3 linked regions of the Cricetulus griseus genome follow. The protein of the gene in region 2 interacts with the protein of the main gene of each other region in a biochemical or structural test. Links are inferred from orthologs where the notes say so. Each region holds a gene or a part of one and is shown on either strand. Other genes may lie near its edges.

Evidence for each region.
Region 1: the proteins of Acta1 (region 2) and Gc are reported together in a solved structure, tested with the Homo sapiens proteins (2 studies listed by BioGRID and IntAct). The link is inferred for Cricetulus griseus from reciprocal best matches to the Homo sapiens genes ACTA1 and GC.
Region 3: the proteins of Acta1 (region 2) and Gsn are reported together in a solved structure, tested with the Homo sapiens proteins (3 studies listed by BioGRID and IntAct). The link is inferred for Cricetulus griseus from reciprocal best matches to the Homo sapiens genes ACTA1 and GSN.

Annotation. Positions count from the first base shown.
Region 1 is NW_023276807.1:154,301,436-154,305,086, reverse strand, and holds part of Gc (vitamin D-binding protein), read left to right. Parts: intron 1-1,166; coding exon 1,167-1,236; intron 1,237-1,774; coding exon 1,775-1,907; intron 1,908-3,651. UniProt on the Homo sapiens protein: Involved in vitamin D transport and storage, scavenging of extracellular G-actin, enhancement of the chemotactic activity of C5 alpha for neutrophils in inflammation and macrophage activation.
Region 2 is NC_048596.1:200,578,301-200,582,562, forward strand, and holds the start of Acta1 (actin, alpha skeletal muscle), read right to left. Parts: upstream 2,803-4,262; 5' UTR 1,149-2,802; coding exon 1,110-1,148; intron 1-1,109. UniProt on the Homo sapiens protein: Actins are highly conserved proteins that are involved in various types of cell motility and are ubiquitously expressed in all eukaryotic cells.
Region 3 is NC_048599.1:147,119,755-147,123,405, forward strand, and holds part of Gsn (gelsolin), read left to right. Parts: intron 1-2,121; coding exon 2,122-2,255; intron 2,256-3,651. UniProt on the Homo sapiens protein: Calcium-regulated, actin-modulating protein that binds to the plus (or barbed) ends of actin monomers or filaments, preventing monomer exchange (end-blocking or capping).

The sequences.
Region 1 (3,651 bases), on a different chromosome or scaffold from region 2:
GGTGTCCACTTACATGTGTTTGTTTTGTTTTGTTTAGTTTTGTTTGAGACAGGATCTCACTATATAGCCCTGACTGGACTGGACCTCACAGAGGTATGCTCTCCTCTGTCCCGTGAGTGCTGGGATTAAAGGTGTGGTCTCCATGCCTGGCTTTTGTTTTCTTTTTGTTTTCTTTTCACATCTGTCAGGCATGTTATGACTCCCCTTGGCACTGATTGTTCAAAAATCACCTCAGTCTGCCCAGAGGTGACTCACGGTTGGCTGTCCACTGCCCTCCAGAAAGCCCTGTGGTTTTGTCATTCTTGTTGCTATTCTAGGGGTCAAGATGAAGATGCCTGCAGGCCCCCTTGCTTATTTGGTCTTATTTGGTCTGTCTCAGATCTGAGGGCCACTGGTTCCTACTCGCCACCATCATCTTTGTTCCCTAGGCTCCTTTACCTACCCCACTGCATTTAGATTTCTGGAGTTGAATCAGACAGCTGACCACTGCATCCCAAACTCTAGGGAAAACCTCAACAGGCTAGTGGTTATGAAACTGCTATCACTGTACCTGAAGTGTGAGGAACTAGTCCACACTATTCTGTAGACTATCCCTTTCCCTAGCTGAAGTCCTTATGGTGTCTGGGGTGGTAACAGAGTCAGGCAGCAGCTTTCTCAACCTCTGGCCTCTTCCAAGTTCAGACCTAATACAACTGGAAACTCACCTTGGAGTGGAGAAGCTTCTCTGTTTCCTTTTGTTCTTTGTCTTGTTGAAGACATAAGACAATAAAAGGGAAGGAGAGAAAAAAGGAGAAAGGAAGAGAGAGGGGAGAGAAAGAAGGAAAAGGGGGGAGAGAAAGAAGAAACAGTCCCTTCAGCATTTTACACAGACTGAGGAGGATACTTTTCGAATAGGTGATTCTAACTCACTCACCGATGTGTAACATCTGACTCATTCTTAGCATTATTTTAGCCTTTCTACCATTTTTCCTTGCTATATGGTAAAAGTTAATTTAAAAATCACAACATTGAGGCTTTTTGTGAGAAAATAGCTGAAAACATATCTCCAAATTGACTGTACACAGATATTAAGAAATGCCTTTACCACAGATCATGTTGAAGAGCAATAATATATGTATTATTCATTAAAAGGAAAAACACACCTATTTTCTATATCTGCTTTCTAGGCCGAGACTATGAAAAGGATAAAGTTTGCAAGGAACTTGCCATGCTGGGGAAAGATGACTTCAGATCTTTGTAAGTTGCAATATCTATCCATTTCTCTTGGGTACTTGACCAGAACAAAACTGAGCACAAGGAAACTTCCACACTGTCTAGAATGCTGCCCTGGTCTATGAGATGAGGAAAGAGCCTTGGACTGTGGACCAAGCAGGTGGAGGTCAGCTAGAGATGCCAGCTGAACTAACCATTGGTAAATTTAATGAATGTAATAGAAAGTAAATATAGGCTTCTGAGGAGAATTAGAAGTGCCCATTTTTTTTTGGACTCTGGAAAATATAAGCAATGACCTGTATAGTATGTTCTTTGGGGTAAACTCAAAATAGACTCCAGGCTGCTTTGATGGCAACTACAAATCCAGTTTTTACTGTATATAAGATGACTTTTCCTATAGCAAATGCCTGACGTGTAACCTCATACTCTCACTATTAGTCAAATAAAAAAGTTAATGTATGAAATATTTCTTTTCAAAGTTGAGTAGATATCCTATTTGGCATAAGTCAAAATTCCAAACCAACCAATTCAACTCCAACTAACATAACCACTTTTCCCTCAGATCACTAATCCTATACAGCAGGAAGTTTCCCAGTGGCACATTTCAACAGGTCAGCCAGCTGGTGAAGGAAGTTGTCTCCTTAACTGAAGAGTGTTGTGCTGAGGGGGCTGACCCCAACTGCTATGACACTAGGGTAAGTGTGTATCTGGCCATCTCTACCGTGGCCCCAGAAAAAGGAAGTGGCCTTTATGTTACCTATCCAGGACACTGGATTTCAAGCCACCTACACCTAGTTGTACGGAAAAATAAAGAATATTATTTATAGCGCCAGCATTTATTCCACTACTTAGTTCCTTTCACTCATTGTTGCTACAAGGGTCAAAAGAAAAACAATTGGGATAAAGTAACTTAATGACTTACTAAATATATACTGCTAATGAGAACTGTGTGTAGGATTTAAAATCAGGTTGGAATATTGACAAACCATTTTAAATCACTCTAAATTTGAACCTCAGAAATACAAACTCTTGAACCTCTTAAAATAATTTAAATACATGCTCTATAGCTTAAAATCCTGCCTACATCTTTAGTTCTATGCTAAGGTTAGGACTAATGACCACAGAAAAACAAAATGTTAGCTTCAAATTATTTGGGTCACTCAAATATTACTAGGCACACAATTTGTATGTATTTTTAGATTCTAAGTATTTTTAAACGCATGTTTCCTGTGTGTGTGTGTGTGTGTGTGTGTGTGTGTGTGTGTGTGTGTGTGTGTGTGTGTTGTTTTTCTCCTCTATAGCACTTACATAGAAATTGAAATCCTGAAGGAAAAAGAATTGTAATTCAAAGTATCGACAGTAACTGATAAAGGTGGAAATAAGTAGACGAAACTTTACTAATGTGGTTTAGCCCATATACAAATGACAATAAGTAGATTTGGCTAAAGGCCTCCACAGAAAGATCAGTGTCTGCTCAATACCATTATTAGAATAGATTCTATACAATGAATATCCTTACCCACTGATTGCTTTATTTGCCCCCCCAACCCCTCTGTTTTACGTCATTTCTTTTACCATCAAGTTCATCAATACTCATCATTTCAGTCTCATTCTGTACCACATCAGACTGAATATGCTTCAAACTGTCAACCACACTCAAAAGAACCAGTATGTTTTCATTTCATTGCCCTCCCCATGTATTTGCTGCTGCATGTCTTTCTGAGATATGACTGGAGCTTTCGAGAGAGATAACATGGACAGATTTTGTGTGACACCTTTATCCTACTCATTCTAAGCCTTCATTTATTATTTTGTCCTGTACTAATATTTGTTCAACTTCTATTTTCATGTTGGGATAACTGAAATCAGGGAAATACAGAGGAGTTTCTATTGAGATTAATAAAATGGAAAAGGAGATTGGCTGAAGACAGAGATGATTTTCAAAGGCAGATTAATTCTTAATTTCTAAGAGCAATGAAAAGAAGGTGTACATGAGAAATGATGAGTTGGTTTGACCGACTCATTCAGTGTGTTGCTTTCCTTCACTGCTAGGAAAGGTCTTTAGAAAATGTACCTTAAAAGGATAAATAATATATATCAAATGACTTTTCTTACATAAACACCAAAGTGACTTTCCCAAGTTATTTCTACTTATTTTTCTCTATATCTATTCTTTCATATCAATTTATTACAAACATCAAATTACTTCCAATTTTCCCCTACAATTTCTTTGGTGGTGTTCTGTCCTTCAGCATGAATGAGAGGAGCAGGGCAGAGGCTGTAAATGACAGTGACCACTGGTTTCCCGCACTTACCAAGGATAAGACCTGAAATGGGAACATAGATTTTCAGTCCCCATCTTTGAGCTACTCTGAAAGTGTTTCTTGTTGAGTAATTGTGATATAAAATCCTGCTACAAAGATGACAGGCAACTGCAAC
Region 2 (4,262 bases):
ACCGGGCCATATATGGAGAGTATCCCCAGCTGTCTGCCCCTCCCAACTGGCTCCAATGCTCACTGAAGGGATGTGCTGGGCCAAAGGTCATTGTTTTTGCAGATGACTGGTCTGCATTTCCCAAACTCTACCTGTTTTAAAGGTCTCCCCAGCTCTGCCCACCCTGGGTACATGAGCCTCTGAGAAGGTACTGATTCATGACATGACACATTATACCCCATTTATGGGTTAACTCAGGCTACCAAGCCCTGTTGCTTAAGCCCAAGAGAAGGGAGCCCTATGGTCAGGTGAGCTGGGAGGGTTCACAGGCCCCAAGTAGGGTTAGAAAATAAGCCCCACATTTGAACTCCATATTCTTTCCTACTTCAAAGCCCCCCAATCCAGAGATCTGACCCATATACACTGCCCTCTACCCCCACCCGGCACAGGCTGTAAGTCAGTGTAGGGCATGCAGCTGTCACAGGGCAGACAACTGTTGGAGAGAGGAGGAGGTGGTAGTGAGGGGAGGCATGGGGGCTATGTGGCCCTGGCACATGGCATTTGAGGCCAGATTAGAGCTGTCCCCTACATTCTGCATTGTATTCTTGAATGGAATAGAGTGGTGGTCAGAGTGGGCTGGGGGGGGGGGAGGTTCCTAACTCCAGAACTCTCATTTAGTTGGCTGGGTTGAGCAAATGCTACTACCCCTTCCCCTTGGGTGGCACTGAGTCCTTCCCCTGGGTCTGAAAGAAGGGTCACACCCAGAACTACTGGAGCCTGGAGGGGGCTGAGGCAGAGAGAGATGGTGACGGATGTCCCCTCTAAGAAGCACCAAGACTTTACACTGGAGCCCAGGAGTGGCTTCTCCCAGGCAGACTCATCTTTATATTTAGAGGATGATGCCTGTCCGTCGGCTGCTTTCCATCCACCTAGGAGCCACCACCTGCCAGGCCTGTGTGGGTTCTATTTATACCGCTAATAGATGGGGCTCTGCCTTTGGGTTTCTAGGAGCTACTTATGGAAGATGGGGTGGGGGTGAGCAGAGGTCGTTGCCTCTTGGCGCCTGTCTCAATTTGGGCAGGGAGAACAAGAAAGACCAAGAAAGTGTTGAGGCCAACCAGGCGACATACTTTGAGGGGTGCATCAGAGCCAAGCCACCATGGAGCCATTCATTTTTCTGATGGCTTAAGCGTTCCCAAAATAGTTGTTCACATTTGGAGTGGAACTCAGCAGCTGGGACAGGTGCAGATCCTCTGAGGGCAGAGGCACGCTGAGGCTCCTCCAGACTCCCACACAGCTCTTCCTAAACTGTGGGCTGCACAGCCAAACAGGGCCACCATTAGCTTTGTGGCTTTGTCTTTACCCTATGCTGGGGCAACGAACTATTAGAAACAAGCAGCAAATGCATAGTACATACAGTTTTGGGGAGTCCTTTATTTAGGCCATGAGTGTAGGGAGAAATGTGTTGATGCCCTCCCTGGACACAAGAGGGACTGGGCGGTAAGAGCAGACCGCCCCAGATTGCGGCAAGTCTGCTCACCATAACTCTTTTATCCCACTACAAAGTTTTCTCAGCACAGCATGACATTCAGCACATCCAAAGTCAACCTTGAACAAGTGTCTTTGAACTCCAGGAAACCTACTGCACCACATCTGGCAGAGCAGCAAGCAGGTGAGCAGGGCAGGTGCCCTCCAACCTCAGCTACAGTTTCTTCCTTTCCTGACAAGGCCTCTTTCTCCGGAATCCTAGCTAGACTCAAACTCATTATCTTCCTGCTGGCCTCCCAATGTTGTGAGCAAGCTGATAGGTTCACACTTCTTTCTTTGCCCCTTTACCTCTCACACTCTATTGGCCCTCACACTACCCAGAGGCAAACAGGGCAGGTAACAGTAACACTGCAATGGGCAGCAGCACAGGCCAGCTCTACCCTTCTAACCCTGTAGCAGCTCTGGAACCACAGAGCCACAAGGAGGCGCACACATGGAGGTCAGAGGACAGCTTTGTGGAGCTGGTTCTCTCCTTCCACCTTCATGTAGACTTTGGAGATTGAATTCAGCTGCCAGGCTTGCTGTGCTTCCCTGCTGAGCTATGTGCTGGCCTCAGAAACTGGCTCTATGGAGTAAACACCCCTTGTTTTTATTAAGGCCATGGTATATCTAATTGCATTCCTATACAGGGGACCTGCCATCTAGCAGGTGAGGAAAAACTTTTGGAAAGGCTTTGACTGAGAACAAAGTCAAGGTATGCAAAGTATTCACCATACCTCACATGAAACAAATGGTGGTCCAATACAATCCAAGGCCCATTTCAAAACAGGAACCCAAGGCTTCCTGGTTACACAGTTAGTTGGGTTTATTTTCCCCACATGCCTCAAAAAAATGTTCTAGCCAGGGATAGTGGTGCACACTTGTAGTCTTAGCACTTGTGAAGCCGAGGCAGGAAGACTGAGAGTTTGAGGCCAGCCTGAGCTGTATACTGAGAACTTATCCTAAAAAATGTGATGTGATTTTTATATATATATATATATATATATATATATATATATATATATATATATATAAAACAACATATATACTTTTCAGTACATATTTCATTTAGTATGTAGGTTCTTGTCATCTTCAGATGGAGTCTCACTATACAACTGGTTTGGACCTCTCTATGTACACTAGATTGCTCTCAAATTCAGATCTACCTAGCTCTGCCTCCCAGGTGCTAGGATTAAAGGTATGTGTCACTATATCATACGTGGACTTTTTTTGGTGGGGGGAAGGGTGGTTTTCAAGACAGGGTTTCTCTGTGGCTTTGGAGGCTGTCCTGAAACTAGCTCTTGTAGACCAGGCTGGTCTCGATCTCAGAGATCCCTGCCTCTGCCTCCCAAGTACTGGGATTAAAGGAAAAGGAGTGCGCCACCACCGCCCGGCTCATATGTGGAATTTTTATACATGAATATATAATCATTCTGAGGATAGAATGGGAGTGGGTAGGCAGTAGTGGGACCGTAGTTAGCCTGGAAACACTCAAGAAGATGGGATAATGATAGCTAGCCTGAGATGCCATGAATCTGTCTTGGAGATTGCTGGCACTTCCCACAGCAGCCAGTCAAGAGGATAAAATGAAATCTCTGCCTCTATACCCCCAGGGCCCCTTACTGGGGTTTACAGAACAACATCCATGGGCAGTGTTTGTGAAAGGACCAACTATGGTGAAACTGGAAACAATCAGGAAATCATAGACTCAGGCTCACTGACTCAATACTGAGATTACAGCCAGTGTAATCACCATATTTGGTAGCAGTGACAATTTACTGATAGCTCAGAAAGCCACACAAACATCTTACTCACTAAAACACTTTTAAGATTCATCCATTATTGATAGGTGTGGTGTCCTTTAACTCCAGGACTTAGGAGGCAGGTGGATATGAGTCTGAGGTTAACCTGTCTACAATAGTGAATTCCAGATCATCCAGTTACATAGTAAGACCCTATCTCCATGTTTGTTGTTGTTTGTTTTAATCAATGTAGAAAGTGAGGAACATTCCCCATGAGTTACCAGCTGTCACCTTTCATGAGTTAAGAGCCTCTATATTTGTTTCTCAGTCACATAGTAAGTCAATAAAATCTGACATTCAGTTTGCTAAGTAGGTACGTCCCTCTGGCTTTGACCTAAAGAGAGATCAACATCCCAGAGGATCTTTAGTGTACCAAATCCAGAGTCACAGTGACTCCAAAGACAGATTAGAGCAATCTTGAAAAACACTGTTTTCCTTAATTTTTTGAAATTAAAATATAATTAAATTATTTTTCCTTTCCCATGCCCCCTCCAACACCTCCATGCTCCCCTGCACTCAAATTCATGGCCTCTTTTAGTTGTTGACCTAAATATATAAGCACAACCTGCTCGGTCCACAAAATATTATTTGTATGTATATTATTTAAAGGTTGACATTGGATAACGAACTAGGGGGAGGGAGTGGCAATCTGTTTTGGTTTTCAAGTCCAGACCTTGCTATGCTGTCCAGACTGGCTTTGAACTCAGTATCTTCCTGTCTCAGGCTCTAGTGTTGGGATTACAGGTACATGTCACCAAACTTGACTCAACCTTACAATCCTCAAAACAGACATACTATGCACAAGGAGGCAGTGCCAGAGAAAAACTGCATGCCTCACTGGACCAAGGGAGACTGGAGAAAGGGCAGAAACACAGAAACAAGGGTGACTTCAAGTAGAAAATGAGAAGAAAATATCTTACAACTGAAAGAAAATCAGGGTTATGCCCCATTTTA
Region 3 (3,651 bases), on a different chromosome or scaffold from region 2:
GGAGAGCTAGAAAAGGGTCCTCATGATTCCCAAGTCCATCTTCACAGCATGGACATGAGCTTTAAATAGAGGGAGAGTTGGGGCTGGAGGTGTGTGTAAATAAGCAGTCCTGGTCAAAGTGTGGCCTGATTAATCACCTCAAATCTAGTTTGCAGGGAGGTCTAGGAGGTCCCTATGGTTAAGGCCAGTTAGACTTCAGGGTGCTGCCTCTCCCTCTTGAATAATCAGCATCATCTCGGGTGGGTGAGAAAGCTGCTCTTGCAGTGACACAGTTCCGGGCTGTGATTATCTCTGCCTTTAGCCTTGAAGGCAGGTGAGATAGGTCAGCAAGATGCCCCTTGAGGGAGTAATATATCTGCAAGCAGAGCTGAGCAAGTGACTCAGAGTAAGGGAGACCCAAGCCAAATGGAGGCCTAGACGCCCTTCCAGCTTCAGTTGCCCCTGGTCACAGGCAGGAGCCAGTGCTTTTTAACAAAAGCAGTTTCTGGATGCTTGTTATGGTATTGCTGTGCTTGGGCCAGCTCTGGCTGGATGCCCCCCCTTCCCTCCCTCCCAGGTACCCATGGCTCATGTCCCCACCCTCTGTCTCCCTGAGCATGTTTCTTTTATGTTTTCCACCAGTTATTGCAGATGAGATTCTTTTGTTCGACTTTGTTTGTTGGCGACAAGCATCCCCTGAGTACCTACTATGTGCCAGACTCTTTGCCAGACTCCTCCTTTTCCCTAGGAGTGCCTGGATGGGAGGGGAGGTGGCCACAGCCACAACAGAATCTTGAAGTCTGTTGTTCCCAGAGCTGAAAGGAAGCACAGGGGATTTTTGTGGGAACACAGGAAGGGCAGTGGCAATGGGGATATCACAGTAGTAGGGTTTACTGCTGGGGTGGGTATAGGGGACACATCCCAGGTGTGACCCACTATTTGAGGAAGACAGTGCTTATCCAAGTTTGGTGCTGATGCCATTCATGGGGTGTGGCAGTAATCAAGTATTTTGGGTTTTCCTTTCATCTTGTCTTTTTAGTGGGTGTATGGCAGATTTGGTCCCGGGCTTTAGAAACACACTGTAAGAATAGGTAGGAGGCAGAGAAACGAAGCTGGAATGTCTGGAAGGGGTGGTTGTGATGGTTTAGGGGAGAGATGATGCGGCACCTGGAACCAGTGCAGGTGGAGGTGTGTTCAGAGAGGTTCAGGACCCAGAGTCTGTTTCAGGCCTGGGCCCATTGTTTTCTAAGAGGCATACTACGGGATCATCTTTGTATGGCATCATTTCTGTCCTGGATACTAATCTTTTGTTACTCTAGGGTGTGGAGAGGAGACGGTGAAAGTATTTAGTGGACAAAGAGTTGAGCCTGGCTGAGTCTCCTGGGGCCACTCATGCAACCTCTCTGAGCCTCACTTGCTCTCTTGTAAAATGGGGTGGGTCAGAGTCTCCATTTTACCACCACCAGGTGTCACTGCAGGGCCTCCTGACGACTAAAGTCCTGTCACCGGATCTCTGCAGAGATCCGCCTGCAGGGGTCATTCTGAGGTCATCCAACTATGGCCCTCATGAGTGAGATGACCCATAAAATCCTAGTGATTCCATAACAATGAGGAGAATGGAAATGTTGGAGACGTAATGACAGTCCTTTTGCTAGCAGCTGATGCTCACAGCCTGCTTGTGGCACAGGGCATCATGCCATTTTCATGACTAGAATTTAAGGCTTCAAGGACTTCCCTTAACTGTTGTCATTGCCATCATGTTTCAGGAGTGAAAGCTGAGGCTCTGAGAGGTGATGTTGTCTGAAGTTATATGACCCCTCAAGGGCTGGGGGTTAGGTTTGACTCAGGCCTGACTCAGTCTTCTAATCTAGAGCTATCTTGAGGGGCCTCTCAGAAGGGAGCACAGGTCTAGCCAAAATGTGGTGAGAAGAACAGGAACCCTGGGGTCATGGCCCCGCCATGCCTCTCAGCAGCCCTGTGAGTGGGATAAATTATTTAACTTTGCTTGGGCCTGAATGGCACCATGCAACCATGAAAAGCTTGTCCTGTTATCTACACTGTCTACTATGCTGGGGTCACCAGCTAGTCCGAGGTGACAGAGGGACACACTGCAGTTATCTGACCCCAACTCTACCCCTGCAGATCTGGAGAATTGAAGGCTCCAACAAGGTACCAGTGGACCCTGCCACATACGGGCAGTTCTATGGAGGTGACAGCTACATCATTCTGTACAACTATCGACATGGTGGCCGCCAGGGACAGATCATCTACAACTGGTGAGGGACCTAGGCTGTCTGCTTGGTGTTAGTGGGAGTGTGTGGCTCCTACTGTGCCTGAATATGGTGACAAGAGGAAGAGAAATATGGTTGACCTCAGGGAGTCTGGATTATAGAGGCCTGAGTTCAGACAGCCATACCCTGCTGGGACCCATTCTCACCTAGAGTCACAACTCTAAACTTGCCATCGAATATGACATGCCCATCTTAGGGACAGAGACACACCAACCCAGCACCTCCTGCCAATCAATGACAAATCTTACTATCAGTTTATGCTCTCAGAGGCTTCCATTGTAGCAATATAGATGATTTTGTAGTACATAAACATGTAGTATTATTATATATGTCAATTACAATATTATTTAAATAATTGTTTTAAAGCAGAACATATAATCACATTGCTCCAAACCCAAGGCAGAGTCCAAAAGTGTCATTTCTGAACTTTTCATCCCACCTGTGCCCCTGTTGACTCAGCCACAAGCCCCGCCCTTTCCTCTTGACCAGTTTGGCGTTTTTATTTATTCTTTTCGCATAATTACTGGAAGGATATGTAATGTAAGCAAATGCTAAGTGTATTGGTCTGTGGCTTGCCTTTTGGCTACAGCCTTCCTGGAAACTGACAGCTTCCTGATGTAGGTGTGCATGTCTAACAACTGTACCATGCCTTTGGGTTGCTATACCACCATTTATCAACGAGCTCCCCACACCCATGCATACTTGTGTGCTAGTCACCTGATCTCATCAGCACCGTCAAGATTAATAACTGTTAGCAAACAGTCAGATATTTAGAGAAGTCTCTCTGTGTTGAGTTCCCAGAAATAGATCGCCAGATCAGTGTCAATGGACCTGTCATTTTGATAGATAGCCCCGGTTTCAAATTCCTGTATTCCTGCCAGCTACATGCAAGAGTCCCTGTTTCCCTGGCTCCACCTCAGCAGACTGTACTGTTAAACTCATGGATTTTGGTCTGATAGTTTATAAAGTGGTATCTTATTGGACTTTAACTTTGTATTTGGGGTCAGGAGAGGCAGAGCACTTTCATAGATCCAGGTAGCTCTGGGTCACTCCCCTAGCACTGAAAAACAAACATTAAGAAAATGATGGTAGCTCATACTGTTAATAGCAGCACTCAGGAGGCAGAGGCAGGTGGATCTCCATGACAGGAGGCTAGCCTGGTCTACAGATCAAGTTCTAGGACAGCCAGGGCTACACAGTGAAACCATGTCAAAAGAAAAGGAAGGAGGGAGGGAGGGAGGGAGGGAGGGAAAGGAAGGAAGAAAAGAAGGAAGAAAGGAAGGAAGAAGGAAGGAAGGAAGGGCGGGAAAGAGAATGGTGTCCCTATTACTAGACAGTTTCAGACTGTTATCTAATAGTTGTTGAATTTCTTCTTTGTTAA